2 linked regions of the Xenopus tropicalis genome follow. The protein of the gene in region 1 binds, or shares a complex with, the protein of each later gene. Links are inferred from orthologs where the notes say so. Each region holds a gene or a part of one and is shown on either strand. Other genes may lie near its edges. The genes, in order: csk and pag1.

The links.
Region 2: the proteins of csk (region 1) and pag1 are in contact, whole or in part, in an NMR structure (PDB 2RSY), measured with the Rattus norvegicus proteins. The link is inferred for Xenopus tropicalis from reciprocal best matches to the Homo sapiens genes CSK and PAG1. Residues at the interface, in NP_001025210.1 of Rattus norvegicus: Thr88, Arg89, Glu93, Arg107, Ser109, Thr110, Asn111, Tyr112, Thr117, Cys122, Glu123, Lys125, Val126, Glu127, His128, Tyr129, Arg130, Ile140, Asp141, Tyr156, Asp161, Gly162; in NP_071589.1 of Rattus norvegicus: Phe291, Ser292, Leu294, Tyr296, Lys297, Ser298, Arg299, Glu300, Glu301, Leu305, Ile310, Met313, Tyr314, Ser315, Ser316, Val317, Asn318, Lys319.

What each region holds. Positions count from the first base shown.
Region 1 is NC_030679.2:94,053,320-94,057,147, forward strand, and holds part of csk (tyrosine-protein kinase CSK), read right to left. Parts: intron 2,527-3,828; coding exon 2,307-2,526; intron 1-2,306. UniProt on the Homo sapiens protein: Non-receptor tyrosine-protein kinase that plays an important role in the regulation of cell growth, differentiation, migration and immune response.
Region 2 is NC_030682.2:123,791,304-123,795,131, forward strand, and holds part of pag1 (phosphoprotein associated with glycosphingolipid-enriched microdomains 1), read right to left. Parts: intron 2,795-3,828; 5' UTR 2,732-2,794; coding exon 2,583-2,731; intron 2,082-2,582; coding exon 2,030-2,081; intron 1,456-2,029; coding exon 1,362-1,455; intron 624-1,361; coding exon 19-623; intron 1-18. UniProt on the Homo sapiens protein: Negatively regulates TCR (T-cell antigen receptor)-mediated signaling in T-cells and FCER1 (high affinity immunoglobulin epsilon receptor)-mediated signaling in mast cells.

The sequences.
Region 1 (3,828 bases):
CTCAGCATGCAGTTTTGATAAATATGAGTGGCACAGTAATGAGAATTAAGGTAGTAGTTAACAGTTAGTAGACATAGGCCTTCAAGGTCTCCGATTTTATTAATACAGGTATCGGACCCCTTATCTGGAAACCCATTATACAGAAAGTTCCGAATTATGGAAAGGCCTTCTCCCATAGACTCCATTTTAATAAAATAATTCACATTTTAAAAAATGGTTTCCTTTTTCTCTGTAATAATAAAACAGTCCCAACTAAGATATAATTAATCCTTATTAGAGCTAAAACAATACTATTGGGTTTAAATACGGTTTAAATAATTTTCTTAGTAGACTTAAGGTAGGAGATCTGAATTACGGAAAGACCCCTTATCCGGAAAACCCCAGGTCCCGAGCATTCTGGATAACGGGCCCCATACCTGTAGAATAAACACCGCCCAATTCATGTGTAAAGGTGGCCATACACAGGCAGATTTAAGCTGTCGATTCAGGTCCTTCAGATTGATTTAGCAGCTACCCATGCATGGGACCATCTGAAGGCCTCCTTGACTGACATCTGGACTAAAATTAGCTAAATGTAGATAGGGCAAGCTTGATTTTCCCGTCAGATTGAGGACCACAACGGTTTACTGATCCTTGATCCGACAGCTCATATTCCCTTCACTGTAATGCGATTGTTTGGCCCTTTAGCCGAATGATTGCATTAGATGAATATCTACCACCCAAGGTGAGCATATCGGGGGAAATCACCAAACGAGTGGATCTTGTAGTGTATGGCCACCTTCAGACGCTTTCTAAGATATTCATTACTTCTCTGCCTCTATCAGATACATGATGAGCGCTCTCTAAATTTACCAGATGAAAAAAGTGCAGACTTGCATGCAGAGTACCTGATGCTATGATCTTATTTTAGATTTGGTCATTGATAAACCATGTTACAGCAAACAAAGGAAGAACAACATGCATGGTTTACCATCCAGTTAGGAATTCAATGACTTTCCAAAGGTCTTTCCATTCAGGAAATGTCCCCATATCAACCATTTCAACAAGTATTCTTAGTTCACATGCTAAAGGAGACGGTTATACTGCTCTGTGTAACTAAGTGCTATACATAGCACATGATAACTGAGAGGCACTGGAGAACAGGAGATAATATGATCAGTATTAGAAGTGAGGATAATGCTAATAGAAAGCCATCAAAATACTTTCCACTGAAGTCCTCCATTCATGCAAAGCAACAAAAGAAAACAAACCTTAGGCATACGGACTACATTAGGTGTGTGGGGGAGAAAGGGAACAATCATTGACATTTTTCTGTATACCTCTCAAAGCATTTGGGTGCCCTTCAGGTGGATTTCTGGTAAATGTTACTGCCAAATAACATGGCTCCTCTTTGCCAACACAAACCCTGCAAACGTTTGTAAATAAAGTTGGCCATACACATTAAGATCCGCTCGCTTGGCGAGGTTGCCAAGCGAGCGAATCTTCTCCCAATATCCCCATCTACAGGTGGGCGATATCGGGCAAATTTAGGCTAATTCAATCGTTTGACAGCATCGGCACCCCGATCCGACTAAATCTTTTAACCTGCCTGATCAATATCTGGCCAATTTCAGGCCAGATGTCAGTCAGCAGGCCTGTCGTTGCTGCCCCAACACGGGCCGTTAAGCTGCGAAATCGGTTTAAGGGACCGATATCGGAAGCTACAATCAGCCTGTGTATGAACATTTTAGTGTGTGGGATGATTTATATGGCAAGTATTACTATGCATATCTAGGTTAACTTGGGGCATATCAAGCTGAGAGCTGTTGATTCCAAGTGGGATGTTGGTACCTGTGTAATTTCAAATTATTCCCACAAAAAATACACCTTCTGGTGGGGGTGTCATTAGAAAAGGAAACTGAAAGACACATGTAACATTTTTTATGTGAAGGAATGGCGTAAATTAAAATTTAATATTTCGTACCAATACTTATGTATTTTTTTTTATTTTTTTTAAATTCTCAAGTTTTAATTTTATATTTTTCATTTTTGATAGGTTACAGGTCTAAATTGGGGATATTAAGTATAAGTAATGTCACAAACAAACAAATTACAGCTGTGACATCAAAGAGTGTTTTGTTCCACAGTGTTGCCATGAATCATAGAGACCTACATCACTGTGCGGCTCCATTAAGACAAACCCAGCCCCTTTTGCATGAAGCCCACCCCTTTCATGGCAGTCTAGGTTCTCAAGCACCAAATGGGCCCCACACTGGATTCCCCCATCTGCCCAACTCCTTTGCCCCTGATGGGCTCCGGTTTCATACCTCCACCAGCTGCATGAGATTTTCAAAGTATTCCTCTTCATCAATGCTCAGCTTGCCAGAAGAATAGATAATGCGGTAATGCTCCACTTTCCCTTCACAGCTCACACACAGAGTATAATCTCCAGGGTAGTTTGTACTCTCCCGTACAAGGAATAAGCCCGTTTCAGGTGGATACAAGAGACGCTCAGCCTGCTCTCGGGTTATCTTGCCATGAAACCACCTTTAAGGGCGTAACAGAATGAAAGAACAAGGTAAAAGAAGTAGTTAGGTTTGATTTATATGTATATAATTGATTTAAATTCGCTGATTATAAAATATATTTAAGAGGAAAATATACCCCCTTTTTCACATGAGTTCACTCAGTTGGGCTTGTGTAGAAAAGGTGCACAAAACACTGAACCTGAACTTCAAGATATAAATAAAAATGTATTTCATTCTACACAAACATACCGAATTTCACAGATTAACCCTTTCACGTATGTACGTATGGCGTACGTTGTTGCAGTAAAAGGCTTTATCTGCCAACAACATGCGCCGTACGTTGTTTGGCAGATAAAGGTACTTTCTGCAGAAGCGGCATGTACTGCTTCTACAGAGAGTTTTTAGAGATGACAGCCCCCTCGGCAATGAGCCAGGGGAACTGTCATGTCGGCCCTGCGACGCGATCATCACAGGGCTGACCTCCAAGCAGCAGGCGCGATCGCATCGCGTCTGCTGCTTAGTCTTCACTTCCTGCTTCCTGTTGCCCCCCCCCAAGCACCGGCCCGGATGAAGACTGCAGCAGGAGGACCAGGACTGCGATCCCTGCTTCAGGACAGGTAAGATGGGTTTTTTTGCACTTACACACAACTCACACACACTTACAGCAGAAAAGTTAGCAGTTGTTTTTTCATTTTGCACACTTATATACACACTTACACACTGTCACACAACTTTTACACATGTACACACATGTATACACAAACACTTTTTTAAAAAAAATTAATTTTTTTTACCACTTTGTTTTTAGTTTCTTTTCCATAAAAAATGTATATTTTGACAGCGCGACTATTGGATCAGATATTCTGACCACTAATTACACTGTTGTGTGACTTATTTTGTCGTTTCACTAATTCGCACAATTTTTGTGGTTTTATTGCATTTTTATCCCTGTATTAGTATTCCTGATCTGTTTTTAGCATAGCTTTGCCATGTGTAACTTTGGTGTAGAAAAATTTTACCTATTTTGAATTCATCAGAATGTGTATTTTCCAAAAATATATGGTTTTCTGGGGGTCTCTGTATAGTTGGGGGGGTTACTGCACATAATACGCTGTCAGGGGGCTCTGTGCAAAAGCTGAGTTGGCAGGCAAGAAACCCATAGGCGCTATTTTCATTTTGGGGTCAGTACATACCGCAGACTTTGGTATATCTATACATATTGGACATCAAACTGTTCAGTAGACCTCTGGTGTTCCTATTTGGGGTGATTTGCCTTTGTTCGCAAGAAACTGTGTGAGATAAATGCAACAAACTGCAAAAT
Region 2 (3,828 bases), on another chromosome or scaffold:
GTTTTTCAATAAACCTACTTTGTCATCTTGACTTGCACCCTCTATATTTTCCTTCAAGGCTTCTGGTTCTGCTTCTGGTTCTGCTTCCGGTTCCTTGCTTTGCACATTTTCATTTTCATCCAATAGTTTCTTGGGAAGTGGAGGTGGAACGTCCTCTTCTTGGGAAGTTGGGGTGCTGCCAGCACTTTGTGTGTTGATGCTCTGTCGGCTTTTCCTGTTGTGATCCACAGAAGCATATTCTGCCCCAGCCTCTATCCTAAATTCTTGTCTCTTAGGGCTTACAGCATCCATGGATCTCTCTGTTTCTTCATTGAGGGGCAGTGCATGAGCATCCTTTATTTCTTTTACAGTTTCATACAGTGAATCCTCAATAATATTCTCATGGGAGGAACTATCCTTTAGCACCTCATAGGGCCCTTCATTCCCAAGAGGTAACTCATTCTCATCATCTTCTGCTGGGCTTATAGTCTCTAGGTTACTGTTAGGTGGAATTCTAGGCAGCTCTCGGCTTTGGTGGCACCTTATTGATTTTGATGTGCAGTCCTGAAGGTCGCACAGGTCAGGCAGGGAGCCCTGTACATCCTCGTATGGCTGAATGCAGGCAGCGCTGCTGTCTTCTGAAACTGCAGGAAAAGCAACATTCATATTCAGAGGCGTTTTGAATTAACTACTCAGTACTGCAAAGTAAGAAAATACATACAGGTATGGAACCAGAATGTGCAGGACTTGGAGCTTTCAGGATAGGGGATCTTTTCGTGTTTAAAAAAAAATCATTTACAAATGAATAGCTAGTAAGGGTTAATTTTATCTTATTTAGAATCAAGTACAAGGTACTGTTTTATTGCAGAGAAAAAGGAAATCATTTAAAAAATATTTGAATTATTTGATTATAATGTAATTTATCGGGTATGGGCTTCCCATAATCCAAAGCTTTCTAGATGGCAGGTTTCCGGATAACAGAACCCATACCTGTACTTTGGAAATTGTGTTTATGTAAAGGGGAACTTAAATGTAATATGAACTTCAAATAACTGAAATAAAGTCTAGAGATAATCAATTTGATGTACTATCCCCCTCTCAGCATCTACATAAAGGTTGGTGTCAGTTTATGGAAATTGCAGTTTTAAAGTGAAGGCGACGTGCTGTATTCCTTTCCTACAACAATCATCTGTTATATGCCGACGCAAATAGGTGCTCAGGATATTCGGATACGAGTGTATGAGGAACACGTACAATCACTCTCTTCCTAGCACCGAATGACAATATGAATGTCGACAACAGATGTCACAATGTAGATAATTAATGTAATTACACTGACTGCTGCCTTTGTCCATGTTAGCTAATGTACTGGAGCTACTCACCATCACCATTACTGACTGCACCATTTCGGTAACTGGCCGGTGCCTCTGTGCCCAGGCTTGTAACAGAGTGGCTGTATGTTTCCTTATCAGAAGGCTGCAGTTTCCAAATAAAAAAAAAGGTTACTTTTACTTTATGAAATGTAACCTTTACAAGATATTCCACAAGCAGATAAAATGCACCATGCAAAAAAGAAAGAGCATGCATATGTACAAAAAGTAATATTTGCTTCAGTAAATGTTATAAAGAAAAATGATAAAAATGGACAAATGAACACATTTTCTTGAAATCTCCACAATTTGCATTGGCTGTAACAGGGCTACAGTAATTCATCTGTTCTGTAACATATAACAAGCCATACACCAAAGACATAATAAAAAAATCATGGAACATTAGGAAAGTGGAGTTACTAATAGTTCACATCTTTATATTATTTGAAATGCCTATGGCTCAGTTGTAGTAGAATGAATGCAAACATCTGAGTTCAGTGCCATAGTTATACAGTATCTCTACAGTATCAGAGTGTCAGTAGGCACTGGGATAGGTTGTGGCTTAATTATCATTTAACAAATGGGTGTGAATAGGTATATGCTGTTCCATACAAACATTTGCCTGAGACGCACATTAGATGCACATGTTCATACATGTAGTTAATAGCAGATTTGCTTACCGCTGTCATTAGATTCTCATGGTCCCCATTCTGATGTTTCTTTTTCTTCTCTCTGTTGAAAGAAACAAACCATATTTATGTAGTTCCTACCTGATATAGATAAGCACCTTTAGTTTCAGCACAGTCTCTCATTTCTAATGAATAATACCTTATATAGTGTAGGCTGCCCTATCAAGTTTGTAGTCAGATGCAAAGCAAAAGGGGATCTGGGACCAAGTTACAATACTGATGATTGTTTTCCCCATCTGGAGCGCAGGCACCTCTGATGGTGGAAACGATATTTTGATGAGAATTGTCCTTTAATTATGGAAAGTAATCTATAGCTTGTGGTGCCCTGTTCTACAGATAAAGTCATTGCCCCTCAGATGACCGCAGGAGAATGCTGGATCTATAGTTCAACAGCAAAAGCTTTTCAGATTTAACATCCAGACTGTGGAAGCCAAAGTGCATTTTGCCACTTTCTTATTCTTTGCGATAGTACATCTTCTTGCTTACTTTTTGTTAACTGTATCCTACCCATGCTATATATAAGTAAATAAGGTATCAGCCTTGCCTGTAACAGCTGGAACACAGAAAGAGGAGTATGGAGAGGAAGATGATGGTTGACACAGCAGCCAGCCCACCCCATGCCATGAACGCTGCTTGTTCCCCACTCAGGTCATTACTTGGGCTTCCCGCCATCTCCTGTACAATGGGAGCCATTCTTAGTGTATGGTTATCTGCTCAGAGGGGGACTTCATTTGTGGGAACACACTGTCCTGCTTCCTGGAAATAAACAAGCACAGTGTAACAGAAATGTACATATAGCACTCGGGCATACACAGCAAACAAAACAGGAAGAAACAGAACTCAATATATGCATTTTATATTCCATGTAATCTCCCACTGGATTTCTGTGTGTCCTGCTCTTAAGCTGGCCATACATGCCCCAACTTGGCTGGGCATTTTCGGTGATTTAAGCTATACCACACATCTGGCCACGTATGACCAGTCAGGGGGCCATTAAGACTAAAAAAATCCTGCAATACGGTGGAACTGAAGTACCGTACAATTTGGACCTTGGAGTGGACTTCAATGGATCTGATGTAATAATGTTTCAGAAGAACATTAGCCATAGCTGTACTGTATGCAGCCACCATGGTTATTGGTATAGAAAGTTGCTGTGTGTGAGTGCCTCTCTATCACATTGCATGGTGTCAGAGGCTAAAGCGCTGTCATGGATGTAAACACATGAGCTTTGCACCTTTCAATTTAGAGCATTTATAGCAAAAAGATCTCGAGTGTGTAAGTTTGAGCTAATGTTCCCTTTAAGCTGTGAGCATACATACACATAGTGACACCAATAGGCAAAATACATTGTGCAGAGAACAGATAATTACAATATGCATCTGTATACAAAATTCAGCATTTTACTATGTGCCCTCCTGCAGATATGCTGGCCGCAGCTTTTAAAAAGCACATACACACAACCAACCAAAAAGGGGGATGGATAGATGGGAAAGTGACAGGGACCACAGCATCTCCTCACTATACTTGTTTTGGCTGTTAGACCTTCCCTATGGATGATCCAGTCACAAAATATCTGTCCATGTGGCCAGCCTGTTGCATAACCCACAAGTGGACAATTCATGGCTACCCTAGCTCTGCTCCTTGTCTGCCCACAGCCAGCTGCCCTTTCACAAACCCAAAAAATACACCGACACTTGGAAATAAATATTTACTTACACTGCTGGATCCTCTTCTACTCACATAGAAGCACCTTATACATTAACCCAAACAATAACCTGCCCAGCCGCCCT